3 linked regions of the Rattus norvegicus genome follow. The protein of the gene in region 2 purifies or fractionates together with the protein of the main gene of each other region. This does not show direct contact. Links are inferred from orthologs where the notes say so. Each region holds a gene or a part of one and is shown on either strand. Other genes may lie near its edges.

The links. The genes of interacting proteins can lie anywhere in the genome.
Region 1: the proteins of Rccd1 (region 2) and Spag9 purify together in Homo sapiens (affinity purification with mass spectrometry; 3 studies listed by BioGRID and IntAct, counting the BioPlex papers as one, with this or other methods). This does not show direct contact. The link is inferred for Rattus norvegicus from reciprocal best matches to the Homo sapiens genes RCCD1 and SPAG9.
Region 3: the proteins of Rccd1 (region 2) and Kdm8 purify together in Homo sapiens (co-immunoprecipitation; 3 studies listed by BioGRID and IntAct, counting the BioPlex papers as one, with this or other methods). This does not show direct contact. The link is inferred for Rattus norvegicus from reciprocal best matches to the Homo sapiens genes RCCD1 and KDM8.

The regions. Positions count from the first base shown.
Region 1 is NC_086028.1:79,539,940-79,547,638, reverse strand, and holds part of Spag9 (C-Jun-amino-terminal kinase-interacting protein 4), read right to left. Parts: intron 6,960-7,699; coding exon 6,830-6,959; intron 6,387-6,829; coding exon 6,297-6,386; intron 5,926-6,296; coding exon 5,758-5,925; intron 5,346-5,757; coding exon 5,174-5,345; intron 1,562-5,173; coding exon 1,343-1,561; intron 1,101-1,342; coding exon 905-1,100; intron 1-904. UniProt on the Homo sapiens protein: The JNK-interacting protein (JIP) group of scaffold proteins selectively mediates JNK signaling by aggregating specific components of the MAPK cascade to form a functional JNK signaling module.
Region 2 is NC_086019.1:143,685,656-143,693,854, reverse strand, and holds the start of Rccd1 (RCC1 domain-containing protein 1), read left to right. Parts: upstream 1-3,037; 5' UTR 3,038-3,724; intron 3,725-3,737; exon of another isoform or gene 3,738-4,212; intron 4,213-6,808; 5' UTR 6,809-6,947; coding exon 6,948-7,116; intron 7,117-7,261; coding exon 7,262-7,658; intron 7,659-7,746; coding exon 7,747-7,868; intron 7,869-8,199. Other genes in the region: Unc45a (protein unc-45 homolog A), read left to right, coding at 177-290, 502-617, 1,524-1,641, 1,747-1,902, 2,065-2,322. UniProt on the Homo sapiens protein: Plays a role in transcriptional repression of satellite repeats, possibly by regulating H3K36 methylation levels in centromeric regions together with KDM8.
Region 3 is NC_086019.1:189,449,594-189,457,292, reverse strand, and holds part of Kdm8 (bifunctional peptidase and arginyl-hydroxylase JMJD5), read right to left. Parts: intron 5,982-7,699; 5' UTR 5,973-5,981; coding exon 5,481-5,972; intron 4,193-5,480; coding exon 4,026-4,192; intron 2,882-4,025; coding exon 2,749-2,881; intron 2,367-2,748; coding exon 2,322-2,366; intron 77-2,321; coding exon 1-76. UniProt on the Homo sapiens protein: Bifunctional enzyme that acts both as an endopeptidase and 2-oxoglutarate-dependent monooxygenase.

The sequences.
Region 1 (7,699 bases), on a different chromosome or scaffold from region 2:
TGGATATTAGCCCAAAAGCTTAGAATACCTAAGAAAAAATTCACAGATCATATGAGGCTCAAGAAGGAAGACCAAAATGTAGAAGGTTCAGTCCTTCTTAGAAGGGAGAACAAAATACTCATGGGAGGAAATATAGGGACAAAGAGTGAACCGAAGAAGAGGTCATCCAGAGACTGCCCCATCTGGGGACTCATCCCATATGCAACCACCAAACCCAGTGACTATTGCTGATGCCAAGAAGTGCTTGCTGACAGGAGCCAGATATGGGGGTCTCCTGAGAGGCTCTGCAGAGCCCTACTGATACAGATGAGGATGCTTGCAGCTACCATCGGACTGAACAAGGGCACCCCAATGGAGGAGTTAGAGAAAGGACTGAAGGAGCCGAAGGGGTTTGTAATCCCATAGGGAGAACAACAATATCCACCAACCAGACCCCAACAGAACTCCCATGTGTACTCCAACCAATGAGTACACAGGGAGGGACCCGTGACTCCAGCTGCCTGTTGTAGTGGAGGATGGCATTGTCCAGCATCAGTAGGAGGAGAAGCCCTTGGCTCTGTGAAGGCTCACTTCCCCAGTGTAGGGGAATGCCAGGGTGTTGAGGTGGGAGTGGGAGCATGCTCATAGAAGCAGGGGGAGGAGGTAGTCGGTATGGGAGAAGGGGGAAAAGGGATTAACATTTGAAATGTAAATATATAAAATATCCGAGAAAAAATAAAAAAAAAGTTAGAAAATATAATGACGAAATGTTTGGAAAACTCTCTAGAGAGAGCACATAGGAGAGAATAAAACATCTTTCAGTCCCTCCAAGGATGTCAGTTAGTGGGTATTCTGGCTATCTGACAGGACTTTGATTCTTTTTATTTGTGCAGACTCCCCGAAGTTACTGATTTAGGAGGCATACCTTGACTGAAACACTGGGGAGAGGTCTTCTGGGATCTGAACTCCCAGAGGATCTGTAAACACATGTTCTGTGTACACGCCAGGCTGGGAGATGTCCACAGCGTCTTCAGTGGATCCTGCATTGCCCTCTGTGGCTTCAGTGGCTTCCTCTGCTGTTGGAATGTTTTCATCAATCTCACTGTTTTCAGCCTCCACCTCTGTAAAGACATAAAACACTATGCTGAATGAGTCTGTCCACTCCAATCCTTTCACTACACCACCCTGCTCTGGAGCTCTGACCCATGAGCCCTCCTCGGCACTGACTGCATAGTGACACGGACAGCTCTCTCTCTAACATGGTTGGCACGCATCTTCTTCCAGCCCTTTCACCTCGGCTACTTTAAGACTGACAATCTGTAATGTGGACTCTCAAAAGAGCCTCAGACTCTCAAAGGTGTACCTGGTGGCTTTTCAATCACCGGAGAAGCACCATTGGTACTTGGGGAAGCAGCAGCTCCCGTCACTCCTTCTGTGGAGCACCCGACCACTGTGATGCCTCCCAGCAAGCTGTCCATCTCTGCAGAGCTGTTACTGGTCATGCTCCCACACAGAGACGCTCTGTCTACCTGACCAGAGTCAGAAAGCTCTTCTCCTGCAGGGTAGTCTGTCTCTCGAGCCCCTGAAAACAAAACACAAAACACAAAACACAAAAAACCTTTTTTTGAATACCCAGTAAACAAGCAGAAGCTTCTTTCTATTAAAGCTACTCTAGTTTGAAGTGAGAGTATATGGGTGAACCATACAGCTACTAGAATACCATCAATAATGCAGAGTTAAAGAAATCTTGATAAAATGAAAAATTTAGAGGTAAAAATCATATTTCTATTAATTCATATTCTAATGAAAAACAGGTTAAAGGTAATACCTCTAGCCGGCAGCAGCATGGCTCAGGAGGTAAAAACATATTTACTGCACAAACTTGATGATTTGAGTTTGGTCCTTATAACCCACAGTGGGAACAAAGAACCAACTTGCAAAGTTTTCCTCTGGTTTCTGTACATGAATGTGGCATGTGTACACTTCCACACACAATAACAAATTATTTAAACATTTAAAGGTATTTATAATATGGATCTATTAATGTTCGATAACAACATGGGTGTGTGATTTTTGGAGACAAGGTCTCCCTTGGTCCATGTTGGACTTGAACTGTATATAGTCAAAGCTGACCTTAAAGGTCTTGGTCCTCCTGTCTCCACCTCCCAAAAGCAGAGATTACAGGTGTCCATCACACCTGGCTAAGCCATAACATACAAAACAGAAAAGGTGACAGTGAGATGCTCAGCCGGCAAAGCACCTGCTGAACCAGCCCGGGGCCCCAAGTCTGCACCCTGGAACTTAAGGTGGAGGAGAGAATCAACTCACACAGTACTCTGACCCCATCCATGTGCCATGGCATACGCGGCCTCCTCACACACCACACACATAAACAATAAAAACAATTAAAACGTTTAAAGAGGAGGCTGGAGAGATGGCTCAGTGGTTAAGAGCACTGACTGCTCTTCCAGAGGTCCTGAGTTCAATTCCCAGCAACCACATGGTGCCTCACAACCATCTGTAATGGGATCTGATGCCCTCTTCTGGTGTGTGTGATGACAGCCACAGTGTACTCACATACATAAAATAAATAAATAAATAAATAAATAAATAAATAAATAAATAAATAAATCTTAAAAAAAAAGTTTAAAGACTGAACAGGGTCCCATTTCAGGAATTAACAACCATTTATACAGTAAGTAAAGAAGAAAACTGATCAGTGGTCAAATAACCAATATACACTATAACCAGCCAACAAACGGGGCCAAAAATTAATGTCAGTTATGCATCACATTCAGTGTAATACCTGATTTTACTCCCTACGAACACAACAACAGACTGATCCAAGTGAACCCTATTAAACACACCCATTAACTTATACTTTCATCAGGTTTTTATCCTTTTGGGTAAGGGGTTGAGACAATGTTCTGCTCTATAGGGTCAGGCTGACCTTCAACTGTTGATCTGCCTCTGTTTCAGAAGGGATGGGATGACAGGCATATGCTACCACACCTGACCTTCCACTTCAATACTTAAATGGAACACCTACCAATAACTCATATGCCTTCTAGTTTTCTACTGAAACTCCCCAAGTTCACTGGGTAGTTTTCATATTTGGGCAAAGGTTAAAATTATAACAAGAAATATCAAGTTTGAATGACAAGATAACATTGGTTAACTTTTTTTCCAAAGTAGTAATAGGTTAAATCTAAAAGGATCTAATTTTAGAGGCAATATCAGTAGCTCAAGTTTCAACAGTATTTACTCAGACCCAAATAAGATCAAGATAGATATACCTTTTAGGAGAGCCAATGTTAGTCCTGGCATTACCCCTTGACAAGAGCAAGTTCTTAGGTAGGTCACTGTATTCAACAAAGACCTGGGAATACTGTCTTGGATCTTATCTACATGAACTTTCTAATTTTCATACTAACTAGAAATTGAACAGAGCACACTCTGAGATAAACAATGTGACCTTTGCTCTATGAAGTTAAAGACAAGTAATATCTAATATCAAGTCAGGAACAGGGGACGGGGGCTGGTGAGATGGCTCAGCAGATAGAGGTGCCTGCTGCCAGGCCTGACGGCCTTGAACTTGATCCCCAGGAGCTACGTGGAAGGAGAGAACTAACGCCTGTGGTATGATGTCATTTCCACTATCACACAAAACTAAGTAAAATGCAACAAAACTCTTCTTTAAAACTTTGCGGGGGAGGGTTCTAGAGAGATGGGTTAATGGAAGCACTTGCAGAGAGGACCATGGTTCAATTCCCAGAATCCATATGGCAACTCACAACTGTCTGTAACCTCAGTTCCCGGGGATCTGATGCCTTCTTTGGCTTCCACAGACAGCAGACATGCACACACTATACATACAGGCAAAAACTCACACACAGAAAATAAAAATACATTAAACTTATTTTTAGCTGGATGAGGGGCGGCATACACCTTTAATCCTAGTACTTGGAGGCAGAAGCAGGCAGGTCTCTGTGGGTTCAAGGCCAACCTGGTCTATCTAGTGAGTTTCAGAACAGACAGCCAGGGCTACACGGAGAAACCCTGTGTCAAAAATCAAACAAAACAAACAGAAAAGAACAAAACAAACCAAGTATTTAACTTATTAAGACTACCACTGCTATTATTACTAAGATGGGCTTCTATTATGTACTATCACTAAAAGACATACGTGGCTTAAAATACTAGTGAGACATAAAAACATTTAAGCATTTACAATGGAAAACCATTTTTATCACTTTAAAAATATTACTTTATTTAATGTTTTTGTTTTTGTTTTTTTTGTTTGTTTGTTTGTTTTTTTTGTTTTTTTTTTGGTTTTTTTTCCCGGAGCTGGGGACTGAACCCAGGGCCTTGCGCTTCCTGTTTTTTTTTTTTTTAGACAAGGTTTTCTTTATGTGGCCCTGGCCTGAAAGAGCTATAGCCCAGGGTGGCCTCAGAGGTTCACCTGCCCCTGCCCTCCAAGTTCTGGATTAAATGTGCCACCACCACCCAGCTTTGACATTTTAAAGCAGTTCCTTTTTTTTTTTTTTTTTTTTATATATAAAAGTTGTCAGCTTAGACTTTTTGTTTTCTTTTGGAGACACAATCTCACTATATAGTTCAGGCTGACTTTGTCTCAAGGCGGAAAAAAGTGTTTCAACCACAATTATTTAATAACAGGAAAAAAGAGTGTAATTTCTTTTATGGCTGACTAATCTTTCTGAACCACTGTTATAAATTTACACACCCATTTCAGAACTTTGGCAGCCTTCCTGTACTAATTCATCTAGGGGGCGCCTCATTCTCTATCAATTAGCCACCCTCACATGTTGCCATTTGTTTTCAAGACAGGGTTCCAGGATATCCTGGAACTCGCTCTGGTAGACCAGGCTGGCTTTGAACTCAGAGAACCTGCCTCTGCCTCCTAAGTGCTGGGATTAAAGGTGTGTGCCACCACCACCACCACCACCACCAAGACTCAGTGCCATTTTTAAATATTTGTCACACTATTTTTAACTAGTTAAAAATATTTTTATTCAATGGCTTCCCATCTTATTTTAAATTCTCTCTTACTAGAACATAGAGTCTGTAACCACGAGCCCAGGAACACAACTCTTATCAACTTCCACAACTCCACACCCATATCCACCTGAAAGGAGGTGCAGGGAACACAGGGAGGGAGGGAGTCTTGCTTTACCTGGGACACTGGCAATGCACAGAACATGAGAATTGCAAACAGTGAAACTATCTAGGATGTTGCCAGGTTGAACAGCATCAATGATGATAACCTTTGTAGTTGAATGGGTGCTGGTACAGATCCAGACTTGACTGGACAATTCTTCTTGATTTTTTAATTCTTTCTGCTGTTCCTGAGTAGGCAGAGGAAAATGTTTAAAATTATATGAATGTGCAAATATTCTTAAGACTGTTCTTATACTAAAACGAAGTATTATTTTAAGTTATTTCAAGATTATTTGGAAGGGTCAAAATACAATTGTTTACAAGTATTTCTGGATTAAAACTTAGTAGTTAAATTAGCAGGTTGGCAATTAAAAAAACGCTGTCTTTTTTGCAGTAGTGGTGATACACAGTTGGCACAGTGGAATTGTAGTCACTTGAGTATATGTAAGTAATACCTCAATACCATCGATGTTGAAGGGACATCTGGGGAAACTAAGTGCACAATAATCCCCACTACAGGTTGCCTCAAACAAGTTTTGCATTTAAGAGCTCAAGTTCTACATTCCTAAATCAGGAAGTCACGTGTCATTACGCTCTTACCTTGAGTTCTTGATCCAACTTATCTAAACTACTCTGAGACGCACTCCGCTGTTTACTGCCTTCAGATTCCAGAGCAGAAACGTCCTTGTAAAACACACTTGCTCCAACCACAGACCCGCCGTCTCTTGTCTTGCCGCCGGATAAGTTGACTCCTACAGCACACCACAGCTTCTCGGAGGCAGGGGCGGGGAGAGAGTTATTATGTCATTTTTTTCTCTACAAGTAGTAAGAAAATTTTCACCTTTTAAAGATAACTAAAGGTAGAACCATGGGTATTTCGGTATACTCTGATATTATTGGTTAACTGTGGTAGCACACGCACTTGGGGGAGTGAGGCAGAGTTAAAGAGGTTCAAGACTAAAACATGGAAGAAAAAGGGATATAATCAGCCTGGATTATATAGTGACTCGTCTCAAAATACAAACAATGACCAAGTGTTAAAATGAGCTTTGTTCTACTACAAAGGCAGTTTTAAACAGTTTTTAGGGGTGGAAAATCTACTGGAGTTTGAGAGTCCCTCCTTCAATGTCACAGCTTACCTTCATAGACGCATCTTTTTCGTCTAGTGGTCTGAGATAGACAGGCACAGGTAAATTTTTCATCTTATTTTCCCCTTGACCATTGGCTACCTAAGGGGGACACATCAGTAAGTCCCATTAACACTGAGATTACAGAACTACTGAGACACATAAGTAGCATTACTGTCACAGGCTTGCTCCTGAAATCAAGTCAAGTCTGATTCTGTCGTTCTTACTTGAAAAATAAGCAAAACTCAAGCAGCAATTGCAGACAGTAAGCACGAGAGCTCGCAGGAGGCAGAAACCACCATCATGCATGTGTACGTAAATGCATGTTTGTAAACAAAAGTGCTTAGTCTTTAGGAGTTGGCATGTTTACTACATTCTAGGGCTCTAGAAAATAGCCTGAAAGACCATATCCTCCAAATTTGTCTAAACATATCGAAGCAGGCCGCAATGAGGAATTTAGGATGTTGCCTCTAGTTCACAGTTTTCAAGCACACTCTTCTCAGTGTGCACTTCCTGCTAGACACGCTCATCACATCCCCAAGTACCTGCTTGTACTTCTGAGGCAGACTCCAACCGAAAGCTTGCACTCGGCCATCTTCCTTCTGAACATGAGCCTTCACCTGCCGATACTGCTCTCTCTTTTGCTCTCTGCGGGAGGCTAAGCTAGCCTCAGTTCTAAAAGGAGACATTTGCAGTTTTAATTATGAGAATGCAACAATCCAGCATTTGAGTCATCCTTGACTCCACCCTGGAGCCTTGTACCCGAGACGCAGAGACAGACAGACGGACACACAGACACAGACAGATACACACACACACACACACACACACACACACACACACACACACACACGCGCGCTCATGAGGATTATACCAAAGCTGATTTTTCCATGTTTGTGAAACCAGCCTTCAACAGGGAATAAGCAGCATGTTGTATTAAACTGAGTTATTAGTCATCAAACTTATGACGTTTCAGATGTTATATTTAAAAGCATAAACTTCTGAGGTAATTTGGGATCTCTCTTTTCTTAAAAAATACTGAGAATTTTCTAATGCCAGCTGTTATGGAAGGTGATTAAGCTAAACTCCTAGATTCTACACCATTTCTCATGATTATTTTTTAAACTTAGATATAATTATTTCTTTAGGTGTTTGGAATGTTTTGCCTGCATGGATGTCTGTGCACTATGTGCATGCCTGGTGCCCTCAGAGGCCAGAAGAGTGCATTCTCCTTCCGACACACAGGTCCCGGGATGGATCTCAGTCCACCAAGGTTGGCAGCACTCTTACCTGCTCAACCAGTTCACTAGTCCTAAAGTGCAATTTTCACAAGAAATGCTGGCTACAAGTCATTCATTCATTCACTCATTCATTCACTCATTTTGGGGCAAAGTCTCCAAATCCCTGTGGCTCAG
Region 2 (8,199 bases):
CCCATGTTTAGTACCTAATAGGTGGTTGAGGAAGTGTGGGTGGTTTTAACGAGAGACCTCAGAATGAGGGAGAGTCTGAGCGGGAGTATTCTCAGGCCCATGGAAAGAATGAGAGGAAGGGTGCAGTCAGGATCGATGCTAGACTGGGCACTGACAGGGCTGGGGCTGTTTGATAGGCTCTGCTCCCGCTGGCCCTGGAGGGCACCGACGTCGGGCAGACGAAGGCAGCACAGGCTCTTGCTAAGCTCACCATCACCTCCAACCCAGAGATGACCTTTCCTGGTGAGCGGGTACGTGAATCCTTGCTCTGCCTGTGGCCCTCCTGTTCCTTCATTCTGCCCTGATGGCCCCCGTCCTGGTCTCCCTCTCATGACCAACAGGAAGTGGCGGTATTGCTGAGTCCTGGGGTAGAGGACAGTCACAGAGCCACTGTCTTGGGTGGGCTCCCTGCTGGGGGTCCCTGGAGTTGCATGAGCACTGATGTGTGGGGTTCTATCACAGATCTACGAAGTAGTCCGGCCCCTTGTCTCTCTGCTGCACCTCAGTTGCTCAGGACTGCAGAACTTTGAGGCCCTCATGGCCCTAACGAACCTGGCCGGGATCAGTGAGAGGCTTAGGTAAGGTCCTATGCAGCTTGGCACAGGGATTTGGGTGAGCCCCAGTTACTCACGCTGGAGTTTGGAAGACAGTTCCTGGTCATTCTGTGTGCCTCACAATGACTCCTCTGCCACATACAGAGGACACAGTCATGCCAGGGGTGGCAGGGTGAAGCGCTGGGGCCCTGACTCTGCCCACTACATCCTCCTCCTCTCCTCAGACTGCTGACACTCACTGGCTCACTCACCCTAAGAAAGTCTTTAAGTCATTCTGCCTCAGCTTCCACTCAGAGTTAGTTAGGTATCTAACTGTGGAGTAGTAGCATGGAGAGATGGCTGAGAAAATGCTTATAAAACCCTTCATCAGGCACAAGTGGTGGCTCATGCCAAGGGAGGAAGATTGGCTGTGAGTTCTAGGCCAGACTCCCCAACCTCTCCTGAAAGCCCTTAGTTCCTAGGTATCTGGCCCTGGCAGTAGTCACAGTGAATGTGTATTAGTTGTTAGTACTGTGACCTTGAACACATGACTCACCATGCGGCCCAGTTTCTGCTTTGGCTAAATAGAGACGGTAGCCACCACTATACATGGAGTAAGGTGAACATTAAGGAAGATAATTCAAGCCTGGGGCTATGATGAGCGTCAGGTGAAACAGTTCAGGCAGCTTGGGCAGGTTCAGAGCTCAGATGATTGATGTTTACCGAGCTATCTTCATAACCACCCTGCTTTGCTAAGTTCCAGGACGCTCAACACCCCCATGCTGTGTGTAGCCAGGCCAGAAGGCTAGAAAGCTCTGCAGTTCATAACCCACACAGGAAAGCCTGTGGGCACTGCTAGGGGAGCGCCTCAGCTCAGGGCACAGCCACCTGGGGTAGTGTGGTACAGGATGATATGGAGACTCTAGTCACGTGTGCCAACTTGTCCTGCAGACAGAAGATCCTGAAGGAGAAGGCCGTGCCCATGATTGAGGGCTACATGTTTGAGGAGCATGAGATGATCCGCCGGGCAGCTACAGAGTGCATGTGTAACTTAGCCATGAGCAAAGAGGTGAGGGTCGGTCCAGCTAGTCACCGTGACAGAGATGCCAGCGGCCCTGCACTTTGAGCACACTGTGGGCCGAGGTAGCAGGGTCCTCTCCCCGTCTGTTCGCAGGTACAGGATCTCTTCGAAGCCCAGGGCAACGACCGGTTGAAGCTGCTGGTGCTGTACAGCGGAGAAGATGATGAGCTTCTGCGGAGGGCTGCTGCCGGTGGCCTGGCCATGCTCACCTCCATGCGGCCCTCACTCTGCAGCCGTATCCCACAAGTGGTTAGTTGCCTGTTCTTGTGGGGGGCATGGAGGAGGGTGAGGGAACTAGCAGTTCCTCACATGGTAGCATCGCTCTTCTGTTGGGGAGCTCCCAGGGTACAGATGTGTTTTCTGCCAGAGTCGAGCCTGTTGCTAGGTCTTCACACCCACCATTCCCTACAGACCACGCACTGGCTGGAGATCCTGCAGGCCCTGCTTCTGAGCCCCAATCCGGAGCTGCAGCACCGGGGCACTGTCGTGGTGCTGAACATGATGGAGTCCTCGAAGGAGATCGCCAGCACCCTGATGGAGAGCGAGGTCCTGGAGATCCTGTCAGTGTTGGCCAAGGGCGAGGAGAGCCCAGTCACCAGGGCTGCTGCAGCCTGTCTGGAGAAAGCCGTGGAATATAGACTTATCCAACCCAACCAGGATGGGGAGTGAGGTTCTGCCCTGGACCCACAGCTCATGTGTCTGCTACCCATCACAGCTCTGAGAGTCAGGATAGAAGCAGCGTGGCCAACAGGACTGGGATGCTGGACACTGGCCTTCCTCCCCAGCTGCACTTTGGTGTTCTCTATCCTGGGGACACGCACCACACAGCCCTGCCCTGCCAGCACTCAGAAGGGCCCTGTCTGTACTGTAGAGAGCTGGGAATGGGGAGCACGCATCCCATTCAAGTCTGTGGATTATGGGCATCAAGAAGGAAGGGCACAGTAGCATCCTCACAAGCCGGGAGCATCACCAGAGCCTGCCAGCAGGCTAGTCCCTCTAATAAATCATGTGGAACTAAAGCTCAAGTTTGTTGTGTAGGCGGGGCTGCTGAGGGTGGGACGCTCTGGAGCTGCAGCCTAGTGTGCTTCCCCTGTAAGGAAAGGAAGCCAGTGGGCACATGGAGAATCTGTAGACAAGGCCTTAATATGGGTAAGTCAGGCTGGCTTCAAACTGACGATCCTTTCTCAGCCCTTAAGAGTAGTGCGGGGCTGGAGAGATGGCTCAGTGGTTAAGAGCACTGACTGCTCTTCCAGAGGACCTGAGTTCAAATCCCAGCAACCACATGGTGGCTCACAACCATCTGTATTGAGAGCTGATGCCCTCTTCTGGTGTGTCTGAAGACAGCTACAGTATACTCATATGAATAAAATAAATCTTAAAAAAAAAAAAAAGTAGGGGTTGGGGATTTAGCTCAGCGGTAGAGCGCTTGCCTAGCGAGCACAAGGCCCTGGGTTCGGTCCCCAGCTCCGAAAAAAAAGAAAAGGAAAAAAAAAAAAAGTAGTGGGAATTACAGTTGCCGTCACCCAGCCTGGGTTCTTTGTACGCCCTGGTGAGTTAGCCTGAAGCTTAGGAAACATATTTCAATGTGTTATGCTGACCCTTGGACACATTTATCATGATATTGTGAGTTTTCTGTGATCTCTACTAGGTCTGTGTTTGGGATTTGGGGTTGGTGTGCCCTTCTCTCGGGAAAAATATGTTTCTGTAGCTGTGTCTTACTGAAGGAGAAGCGCGGCCCAAATAGGATCTCTGGCTGAGAACGCCTGTCTCTTAGAGGGGTCCAAACTTGGGACTCATTGGCTCAGTAGAAGTAAATGACAGAGCCTGGGCCAATCAGTGAAGGCACTAATACTACCGCTTCCTGTCTGGATATCAGTCCTAAGCTTGTTCAGTAGGAACCGCCTCCTTCCTTGTTCAAAGGGAATGGAAGGAGTCAGGATTTGGTCTGTGCCCACCGTTCCCCTCGGATCTTCCTGAGTATTCAGTGGTTCCAACCGCGTCCACTGTCGGCGCCCATCGGAGACTTCGGCACACTGTCCGGAGCAGCCCGAATTGGCTTGGCAAAGGGCAGGTAATCCGGCGCATGTGTGCACGTCAGGCGGGCCCCGTGGTGACGTCATCGCTCGTGCCTGCGATTGGCTCAGAAAAGCTGCCGCATCCAATGACCGCTTTGCTTGGCGCGGGGGCCCTTTAAACACGTTCTGCCCCGCCGCCGGTCTGTTCGGAGCTGTGCGCTACTATGCGTTTGCCATTTCCAAGGTTTCCCGCTTAAAGGGCTTTCCTGATGAGTTGAGGGTACAAGGAAACGGGGAAGGTAAAAGATTCCCTTGGTTGGGGGATCCAGGAGCTGTGGTCTCAGGTCTGACTTAAGAGGCTTTAGAGTGTCTGTAAAATTCTGATCCAGTCCAATGAAGTGGCGTTGCATTTGGAACAGTGCGACTGTCTCCCTGGGGCCCATAGTCACTGAATTAAGCCAAAGGAAAGGCGCAACAGATTTCTTGAAAGAATAAACTATCAAGTAAGGTCCAGTGGAAATTTTCCAAATGCCTCTGAAACCCGGTAAGAGCCAATGGTCATTTTCGTCGTTAAATGCTACTGCATTTATTAAGCTAAGACTGTTGCCACTTTAATTTTGATTTGTATTTATTGCGAACAATTATGCCAAGTAGATACAAGCACTGCTGTTCCCACCCGCTTTGTAAAACGGAAGCTATGCAGTAGGATTTGGGTGCACAGGCACACACACAGGCCCCAGGTATTTATTCTGTCTGTTGGGATGAAGCTTATAAACCCACAGGACTTGACTCAGCTCTGTACTTGCTGTGTGACTTGGGGTTAAAGTTCCAGCTAGGGATCTGGAGCAGTGGGCTTCAGATCCTAGTGCTGCATCTGGTCTCCCACTTAAATACCTCACCGTTCCCTGCGGTAGGGGTAATAGGTTCTGGGTTGCAAAGAAAGAGACCACTGTTAAGGCCTAGGTGGAATGTTAGACCTAGGTAACTGTAACTTGGCTAGCCTGCCATTTAAGGAAACTTTCTCATAGGTTTCTGTTCTCAGGAAACTCTGTAAGGCTAAGGCTGACTATATGTTCTGTTCTGTGTCCTTGGAAACCAGTCACTTTAGAAGTCAGTAGAATTGCTTTGTGTAGTTAACCACAGTAAGCTTGGATCCAAAGCAACCACCAAGCAGAACTTCCTGCTCCTGTGTATAAGCTTTTATGGTATAAACTGCCCCTGGGCTAGACCCCAAGATAAGAGAGACACATGCGCCAATAAAAGAAACTATTTGGAATAAGACTTCTGAGTAGGGGTCAAGTAAAGTTTGAGTCCCAAGACCTCCCTGGGAACCGCCATCCTACTTTGCAGAAAGAAACATGTACGTGGGTAACTGACATCTTTCATGGCAAGTTAAGGCATAAATGTTAGACAAGTCCTGTCCTGGTAGACAAGTTAAGACATGAACATTAGACAAGGCAAGTCCCCTGACACAGTCGTATTCCCAGCCAATGGGAGCCAGGATAAGTGTGTAGCAAAGACGTGTTCCTGAGGACGTCCCCTATCCCTAAATTCTGTTTGGTGGAATAATTTGGCACAGATGTTTGTGGAATTTAGACTTAAAAACCCTGTAGAATCCTAACTTGGGGTCACAGTTCATTTGCTGAACGTGGACTGTGGCACTGGTTGGTCAGTCCTGGGGCAAATGCTCAATAAACTCTCCCTGTCTGGCAGAGATTGGTGTTCGTGTGGTTTGTGAGGCGACTCCAGGACCCAAACAAGCACTTACGCTGGGAAGAGCAGAAAACAGAGACAGGAACACACTTGGTTTTCCTCTTTCCCACCTGGCTGGGGTCTGACCTCTCAGTAGTATTCCTTGACTGGTCTTTCTGATGTTTTGAGACAAGGTCTCTTATTATGTAGCCCTGACTGTCTTATAACTTGCTCTGTAGACCAGGCTGGCCTCAAACTCACAGAAACCCACTTGCCTCTGCCTCCCAAGTGCTGGAATTAAAAGTGTGCACCACCACACCCTGCCCTAAATTGGGTAGTCTTGCAAGACTTAGTGCACAGGAAACGAAGGAGAAAAGAGGAAAGGGTCACTGGTCATGGGACTTTGAGAAAACAAAAGATTTACTGGTTTGTGTGTGTATGTGTGTAACATTTTCAAAATAGTCTTATGGGGTACAGGGAGATAAAGAAGATTGGTGTTGAAGTAGTGGCGCATGCCTTTGATCTCGGCACTCAGAAGGCAGAGATGGGGAAGTCTTCGTGAGTTTGAAGCCAGGCTGTTCTACATAGTGAGTTCCAGGACAGCAGGGACTTGCATAGAAAGACCTTGTCTCAAAATAAAAAGGGGATAGAGAAGCTCAGTGGTTAAGAGCACTGCTGTTCTTGCAGAAGACCTGGGTTCAATTCTAGCACCCATGTGATAGCTCATAACTCCAGTACCAGGGGATCTGATGCCCTCTTCTGCCCTTTAGTAACTCCAGACACAAACATGGTACACAGGCAAATGTGAAGGAAAAACATCTAAATATTTTATTATTTTATTTTATGTGCATGCTGTTTTGCCTGTGTGTATGTCTGTGTAAGGGTGTAGGAAGCCCTGGAACTGGTGTTACGGACAGGTGTGAACTGCCATGTGAGTGCTAGGAATTGAACTTGGATCCTCTGGGAGTGCAGCCAGGGCTCTTAACCATAGAGCCATCTCTCCAGCCCAAAATAATAATTATCTTTTTTTTTTATAATTATCTTTTTTTAATCACTTTAAAAAAAGGATTTGTTTTATATGTGTCTGACTACACTGTTGCTGTCTTCAGGCACACCAGAAGAGGGCATTGGGTCCCATTACAGATGGTTGTGAGCCACCATGTGGTTGCTGGGATTTGAACTCAGGACCTCTGGAAGAGCAGTCAGTGCTCTTATCCGCCCCGAATACAAGTTTTATAGTGTTTGACAGAAAAGACGCATACTTAATATTTCTTACAGTGGGATACTGGATTTGAGCCAAAAGTGGAAGAAAGAAGCAGTCAGCTGCAGACCGTTCAATAGTCGCAAATCCAGTAGGACCTTTGGCCAAAGCTCCTCTCAACAGACAATAGTGGGATGAACTCCCTTTGCCCCAGTGATTAAGATGGTAGCCAGTCTCTATTTTACAGATAACGCGGCTGCAGCCCCTTGAAGGCGAGATTCGCCAGTGTTCCTGAGGTGTCCTGTTCGTGAGACTCTCCTTGGGTTGTAGCCTTAATCTTGCACCCCAGCCAAGTGGCCGCCACCCACAGAGGCCTCAACCTGAACATGGCCGAGAAACGGCAAGGAGCCTGGTTCGGCTTTGGTTTCTGTGGCTTTGGGCAAGCGCTGGGCTCTGGGAACGGCCAACATGCAGTGCACAGTCCTGAACCACTGCATGCTGCTGACGATGTTTGCCAAGTGAGCGCAAGCTGGAGCTACACTGCCCTGGTGACTCGTGAGTACCCTTACAACCCCAACTCCGGGCCTGTCCCCTCTACCTGCCCAGCCCTTCTTAACTTGCCTGTCCAGAAATACCCTACACCCTTACTCTGGCAACCTTGAGCCCATGGCATGTGTCCCACCCCACTCTACCCACACAGGCGGAGGCCGGGTGGAACTGTCAGGCTCTGTGAGCTGTGCAGCAGACGGCTGCAGGGATGTGTGGGCGTCGGAGGGACTCCTGGTGGTGCAGCGCAACAAGAGTGGGTCCGGCACGGAACTGCAGGCCTGGGTACCAGGTTCCGCGCTACAGGGGGAGCCCCTTTGGGTCCAGAACTTAGCTTCTGGGGCAAAGGCCCAAGGGGAAGATGAACCCGGCAGTGAGCCTAGGATGGGGACGCTGCCGTTGCTGCCCTGCGCCCGTGCCTATATGACCCCACAGCCTCCCTTCTGCCAGCCTCTGGCCCCAGAGCTGCGGGTGCGCCAGCTGCAGCTGGGTGCGGAGCACGCGCTGCTGCTGTGCGAAGCTGGCCAGGTGTTCTCCTGGGGCGGGGGCAGGTGAGGACGGGCTGGGTATGACGTGGGGACGCTCAAGGAGGTGCTCCCTCGAATGTATCTGTAACCGATTAGGGACTCCTTTGACCAGGCATGGACAGCTGGGTCACGGGTCGCTGGAGGCAGAACTAGAGCCAAGGCTGTTGGAGGCACTGCAAGGCCTACGGATGGCTGAGGTGGCCGCAGGTGGCTGGCACTCTGTGTGTGTGAGTGGTGAGTGACCTGGGGTGTCTCCAAATAAGTGGGGATCTTGGCCACTCCTTCTTGTTCTGTTTTTGTGGGTGGGTCTAGCCCAGGCCTCGTTCCAAGCTCAACCTAGCCCAGTTATTCCTGACTCTTCAGTGTTTTTAGATTTAGCCTGTTGACTCCACTACCCTCTTATACCTCTGCTGCTGCGGTTACTGTCTTTCTGTACCTGGGCTCTTCACCACTCCCATCCATCTAAAATATTCCAGATGGGAAGGACACTTATACAAGGGAACCGCTCAGCCAGAAGCAATGGAGAAGGCTGCATATGCCCACGTAGCCATGGTGGATGGCAGAG
Region 3 (7,699 bases), about 46 Mb from region 2:
TAGTGATCTCTTCCTCTTCTCCATTGCCCAGGCAACAGTAATCGGGGATGCTGATGTCCTGCTTCAACTCTGGGATCTGAGGGTAGGGGCAGAAAGCAGAGGCCAGGGCTAGGTATGCCAGCCAGGGCCCAGCTGACATCTGACTGCTTGACACCTAGATGCACACACCCCTAGACGCACACACCCCTAGACGCACACACCCCTAGACACACATACTCCTAGATGCACACACTCCTAGATGCACTTCTTGTTTAGTTTTCAGACAGATTTTCTATTTCTTACCTCTTCCTTCAGCCTCCCAAGTACAGACATTGCATGTATGTGCCGTCCTACCCAGCTCAGTTCATATCTACTAAGTAGAAATCTAACAGACACAATGGAGACGAATTGCAACCTTGCTTCATTTGTTTCTACATTATATAGATATTTCCATTTTAGAAACTTGGTATTGTTGCATTATACTTTTTAAAAAAAGGTGTTAATACTGTCATTTACTAATGAGTAATATTTTCTTTTGTTTTGAGATGGGCTCACTCTGTAGCTCTTGCTGGCCTGATCTCACCACATAGACTAGGGTGGCCTTAAACTCACAGAACTCCATCTGCCTCTGCTGGCATTAAGGCATGAATCACCACACCAGGCAAGAGTTAAGTTACCACCACCAGAAACAAAACAAAACAAACAAACAAAAAAAAGCTCCCCTACCCCCCAATTCAGCTCTTGGAAAGCTAAGGCAGGAGCATGACAAGCATGACCCAGGAGGTAAGCATGGTGACACAGATCTTATTTAAAAAAAAAAAAAAATCCTGTGAAGTCCACTGTACTAGGTATTTATCAGATCTCTGGAGGATTATTTTCAAAAAATTACTACCATTGAGATCACAACTGGTATATTTTAAGTAAATTACTACAAAGACTGGCAAAGTAGGTTTTGTACTAAACTTACTCTGAGAAGAAAGTAGTTTCTTGAACAGTGTTCAGAAGCCAGAAAAGAGAACCTTGGGACCAAGTCCACCAGGGGACTAAAGCAGGTTCTCAGAAGCAAATTAGTGATGAGGAAGGACTTGGGTCTTATTAGCAAGTGAGTCAAACTAGATAGGCCACAATCCAATGTGGCTAGTACCCCAGGCTCCTAGCATACCACATTACTGCTTTGATTGAATGGCACTAAGCCTTGCCCCTGGATACTGAGCGTAACTCTGATTGGTTCCTGATGATGTCATTGGGAATTCTGAAGGGTGATTGGTTGGCTAGATATCAGAAAACACGTGCTCCACGGATATGATTATTGACAAGTCCAAGGCAGTGGCCAGAGGCTTCTGAGACACTGCATTGGGAGGAAAGTTGGTGCAGGGTTCCTGGCAAGTGCTTGTCAATAGCCCAAGCTGTGTCTATAGGCACAGAGGTCCTAGAAACAGCCGTGCCCTGTCTCCAGGACACATGGCTGCTCAAACGCCTCTTTGAGGTGCTCAGAACAGCAGGGGAAGATGAGTGCGGAGGGGCAGCCAATCTGCCTGGGGATAGCTGTACACTGTTCTGCCTCACCCTAAAGATAACAGCAGCTTTGCCTTCTAGCCTGGGTCAGGATGGGCCTCTGCCACAGCCTCTGTATCTTAACCAGCCAGCTTGGAAGGACTCCTTATGCAGCTCAGCCTCTAAGTGCTTAGATTCAAGGTGTGTGCACCACACCCAGGTACAGGCAGCTCACAATGGAAAGGCAGTGTAGCTGCCAATGCATAGTCTGTTTTCCCACAGTGATGGTCATACCCGCTGATGATGTGTTGGGTGGCAGTGGGTGAACACCAGGAGGGGCAGGTAATCTGCCCCTAAGGGTGCTCTGGGCAGCAGTACCTGCTCTGTCCAGAAAACATGCATTTATTTGTAACACTGCTGGGGATCTTGTTGCTCATCAGGAGCCTCACCGAACCCATCATTTCCAGATTAAATCCAGAATCCTGTCTGGCCTTTTAGGCCTCTAACACCTGGCTCTCCCACTCGGAGTATAACCTCCCAGCTGGTGGTCTCCACAATTTCCTAAAGCTTTGGGGCTGGGATGTTTCTTAACGGGAATACTCTCCCACCCAATCCCACTCCAGCTCAGCCAAGGTGCACTGTTAAGTCTTTGACAGGTCATCCTGAGGATCCAAACTGGGCCCCCAGCCTCAGCATACTCAATCTCTCAAGCCTGGCAGTTCCGTTTGCCTCACACTGCTACCTGTGATAATCAGTGAGACCCTTGCTCCAAAGCGTAGCACCAGAAGATAGCCGTGTGTGTTTCCTGGGAGCAGAGGAGCAGGGCAGGAACATGGTCCCAGACTCACCTGGTCGAACAGCTGGTGTTGAGCAAGGTACCCGACATCCTTTGCCTGACCCAGAGGAGAAAAACAGAGGTGACCATCAGTTAGTTTGTGTCAAGCGTCTCTTGATGGCCCTGTTGCTTAGCTGGATGCTGAGTCTTGGCCCTGGCCCCACCCACCACTGTCCCGTGTGGCCCCTTCCCCACCCTGGGGTCTGATGTGGTCAGTGACCTCCCAGGCAGGACAGAGCTGAAGGGCAGGAGACTTAGGGCCTAGGAAGCATCTCTGTTCTGAGTGGGCCACCAGCCCCTGCAGCTTCTTGCAGGAGTAGCGCACAGACAAGTGCTGCTGCTTTTCATTGGAAGCTGTTTTAAAAACCGTGCTGAGGTGAACATGGCGTGCCTTAAGTTCAGCCACACTGAGCATCTGTTATACAGTGACTTGCATATACCTCGCTCAGAATGTATTTGTGGATGAACTCATTGACTGTCATGAGAGTCTGGGACCAGTCTTCATCTGTGTATCTTGAACCCACTTCCACGGGGACAGTGCGGCAGCCAGCAATCTCCTGGATGTACTGTAGACTACAAAAAATGTCACCATAGTGTCAGCATGCATCTAGGACATCTAGGAATGGTTTCCTTTGTTCTCTTCATGCAAAACCTCATGAGGTGGAGACGACTGTTGCCTTTGCTCTCCCGACTGTTCTCACAATACAGAGGTGAGGCTGCATGCCTGAGACCACACGGACTCTCCTTACCACCTCTGCCATCCACAATCCTGCTGACTCCTCACTTTCCTCTGTCACTGCTGAGAAACCTTGGGATGAGTGGAAGGCAGTATGGGATGGGGAGGTGATGAATGCAGACTCTGAACTCTGATAGCCTGGGTGAGTAGGAGACCCTTCAGTGAGTTACCTTTCCCGAGACCCTGTTCCCCATCTGTTAAAGGAGGTGATGCCAGAACCTGCCCCCATTTGGAGCATGACTGTTCTGCTGTGGCTCTCACAGAATTCTTCCTCACTGGAGCAGGGGCTACTTCCTCCACAAACTCACAGCAGGCCGACCTGACTCCACCCACTCCTGTCAGCTACAGTTGTCTCAGGGCACTCAGGGTACTTTTACATGACTCCTGTGGAAGGCGAAATGTCTGGATTCTCCAATCCTTACAGGAAACATTAGTGTGGCCTCATTCTGAATCCTAGTGGGAGCCACTCCTAGGTGATTGCAGTCATGGCCTCAGGCCCAGAGAAGGAAGAGCAGTAGGATCTCTGAGATCTTGCATGAGCACCTAACAGCTCTCTGAGCCTGTTACTCAGGCGCTTGCAAGGATATGCTCAGGGTAAGTGTACGTCAGTGACAGCTTAGACCACTGCACACACTTAGGATGGCCCGTTAAATGTTTTGTTAATTTAAAAACTATTATTCCATGTGCAGGAAGTTAGACATGCCACTGTGTCATATGTGGAGGCCAGAAGACAATTTTGTGGTTCTCTCCTTCTACCTGTGTGGGTCCTGGGATTGGGATTTAAACTCAGGCCACTAGGTTTTTTTAGCCATCTTGCGAGCCCTAGGGTATCCCACTTTAAAGTCTTCATTAATCCTCTGTAATCAATCAAGGGGTTTTGAAGGTCTGGGGCAGTGATGTATGAGTGGCCAAAAGAGACCTTTGAGGAGTCCTGGGGACACTCAGGAGGAAGGACCTCAGGTCCCCACAGTGGCTACTCACCTCCACTTCTTCATGCACGGCCAGTGGTCAGCCACACCTTCCAAGATCACAGGTCTCCCAGGAACTAGAAAATGCTTCTTGAAGTGCTGCAGAGGTGGGCAGCGAAGCCTGGGCACTTCCCGATCTAATACCACATCAGGAGTTGAGCTGGCATCATGCTTTGCCTTCTGTTCAGAATATAAACAAAGCAAGATGGCGACTGTCTGAAATCTGCGTTAGTGGCAGGATGTCTTGGGTAGCGTTAACAGCAGATGGCAGTTATTTGTGTGCACATATGTGTGGCAGAGGATGGACCTTGGCTGTTCCTCTGTACCATGCACATCCTCCTTACTGAAATGGGGTTTTCCCCCTGGCCTGGGGCTCACTGATTCAAGTGAGGCTGGCTGGGTAGCAAGGCCTTGGGGTCCCCCTGACTCCACTTGCCCAGCTATGGTTTGACAAGAACATGCCACCATGCCAAGTTTTTACATTGTCCTAGGGATCAAACTCCAGTGCTCCTACGTGTGTGACCGGCTCTTGTCTGAAGCATCTTCTCAGTCCTGTGCTTCGTCTTGCTTTGAGATAGGGTCTCAACTTGTCTAGCAGGCCTCAACCTCACAGACATCACCTGCCTCTGCCGCCCACGTGCACAGGGTAAGGGTGCTCACCGCTACATGGAGCTGTGTTTTATGTTTTTGAGACAGGGTCTCAGTAGGAAGCCTGGAATGACCTTGAACCCAGAATCCCCCGCCTCAGATTCCAGAGTGCCCACCACACCCAGTAGTAGATAACGTTTCTATACCGTTTGTTTTCATGAACTCAAGGTCCCTTTTCCTGACCATGTCACAGTCTTAGAGCACTGTGGTGACAACAGTCCTGAAGAGTGAGTGCTAATGACATCTATCTTACTCATAAGTCACACCCAACAGGACATTCTAAAACTGCAGGAAAGCACTGAGAAATACATGTCAAACAGTCCAGAATGCCATAGCTGGCACCCATCACAGCCCCAGCCCTTCCTCTCTGAGGCTCAGGATTTATCTGACAACCTACAGATGAGGACACTGAGGCCCAAAGGAAATGGTCTCTGGCTCACCCAGTGGAAGCTTGGTAAGGACTATGTGTCTGCAGCCTTCGGGGTAAGCTGTGCTCTAGGCTTGGAAGGAACTATGAGACACTTAAACACCATGGCCAACCTCCATGAGGACTGGAGGGACAGAACACGCTGGGTATCTCTCCAAGACTAGGTGATGAGAAGGCATGCTGAATTTCCTTCAGAGCACTTTTTTTAGATTAAGAAAGCTGCCACCTCCCCCTCTAAAAAGGGCACTGCCTTTGCAGCTGCTAATTCCCCAAATCCACATGATGCTCTTTTGGCAGAGAGGCTACCTGTCTGACACTGTCCTGGGATTGGACTGGATTCTTCTAGAAGATGGGTTGGGCTGCCGGATGGTTCAGCTTTCAATAGTGACCCACCTTGGTAGCAGGCTGATCCTGGTGAGGGCCACAGGCAGGCTGCTTTCTAGGGAGCAGATGTGTCTGGAGGACTGTAGCAACTTTGAGAAGAATGTCCCCAAGGATGGCTGCCCCCATCAACAGGCCCATGTCACACACCCGCAGTGCTTCAGCCACAGCAGTGGCCTTCTGTGGTGCCTGGCACAGGCACAGGGTCTTCAGGAGGCAGCCGAAGGAATATACCCGGCGCCATTCCTTGTCTACATCTCGCCAGGGACCAGTGTTGAGCTTTTCCCAGGAGTAGTCCAGGACAGCCTCACTGGCCTGCAGGCACTTCTGCCAACGGCCTTCATAGAACAGACCCAAAGCCTGCCGTAGCAGCGTAGCCACGCTCCTGTCCACCTTCTCACTGAGATCCAGCTTCAGCTCCTCCTCTGTGTCTGGCAGGAGCACCCTGAGGTCCTTCCAGAGGATGCTGGGCCCCACTAGGGGCTCTGTAGTGTCCTCTGACATGATCAGCCCCTGAGAGGAACAGGACAGGAATCAGAGCCCACATACAGCCCCGTAGCTCACACCAGTGCACTTCAACAAGGTCTTTGCTACTGCTGCCTCGCTGGTGCAGGGCCTTCCTTTGGGGTCACTGCTCTACTTCAGGGCCTTGTACAATGCCCGGCTCTAAGTGGACTCTGGATGGATATCTTTTCATAGAGATGAGTCCTTTCTTTATCTAGAATGAATCCAACATACTTCCTCTGCCTGGCAAACTCCTGTCCAGCCTTTCAGGCCCATCCTGAATGATCTATGTGAAGTCTGAGGAAATTCTCCTCAGGGTTTGTGTCTACAGCCCTTGGGTTCTTCTATAGCACTTGTCACAAGCACGTGTGTGAGCTGCCTCTCCAAGGCTGGGTTGGGGCACATCCGCTTTGGTTTCCCTAGAGCCTAAAGCCACAGGTGCAGAAGGAAGTGCTCTGTTTTTTATGTCCCCAAAGGTCCATGTGTTGAAGGCTTAGTTCCCAGCCTATCATGGTACTTAGGGTGGCATAGCCTAAGTATGAATTAGAACCTAGGGGAAGAAACTAAGGTCATGGAGACACGGCCTTACAGTTGGACACATTAGGACCCCAGCCTTGAGTTTCTTGGTCACCATTAGGTAAAGAGACCTCCTCTGCCTTGTGCTCCCACAATGATGTACCAAGCTGTCACAGGTCTAGAGCACCAGGGCCATGCAACCTGCTGATATTCTAAAATCATGAGCCAACACAAATCTTCCTTCCTTCCTTCCTCCCTCCCTTTTCTTCTTCTCCTTTTCCTTTTATCTGCCTGCCTCTGCCCCGTCAAATGCTGGGATTGAAGGCATGTGTTAGCATCGCCCAGCTAACCTTTCTTTATAATTTATCCCAGGTATTTGTTACAGAAACGGGAAACAAACACAAAAGCCTAAGCAGAAAGACCATGCTCAGCTCTGGTAGTCTGGTGGCTTGGCCTGAGTATTGTGTGGACAACATCATTTGTGATGGTTTGCATATGCTTGGCCCAGGGAGTGGAATGTGATGATGGTTTGATATGCTTGGCCCAGAGAGTGGCACTATTAGAAGGTGTGGCCTTGTTGGAGATGTGTCATTGTAGGGTGGGCTTGGAGACCCTCCTCCGAGCACCTCCTAGGATGTGGAGTCTGTTCCTGACTTCCTTCAGGTGAAGATATAGAACTCAGCTCCTCCTGCACCATGCCTGCCTGGTCGCTGCCATGCTCCTGCCTTGATGATAATGGACTGAACCTCTGAACCTGTAAACCAGCCCCAGTTAAATGTTGTTCTTATAAGAGTTGCCTTGGTCATGGTGTCTTTTCACAGCAGTAAAACCCTAACTAAGACAGTGGGCTAAACCTCTGAACTGTAAGCCAGCCCCAGTTAAATGTTGTCCTTTATAAAATTTGCATTGATCATGGTGTCTGTTCACAGCAATAAAATCCTAACTAAGACATCGCTACACCAACACTAACAGATCTGCAGCTTACAGACGATGGCTTTGTGCCCTGCTCTATCTTCTTAGCTCTATCCTAACAGCTGTGGCATTTGCTATGCTGCATGGGATTTATCCATCAAGGTTCACGGGCAGGGAGTTTGGGCCTGAGGAAGGCCATTTAAAAGATGGGGCCAGGGAAGTGATTAGGTCATTAGAAGGGCACCACTGTGGGAGGGCTCAAGGCCCATCTTACAGGAGTGGGCTAGTTCCTACAAGGC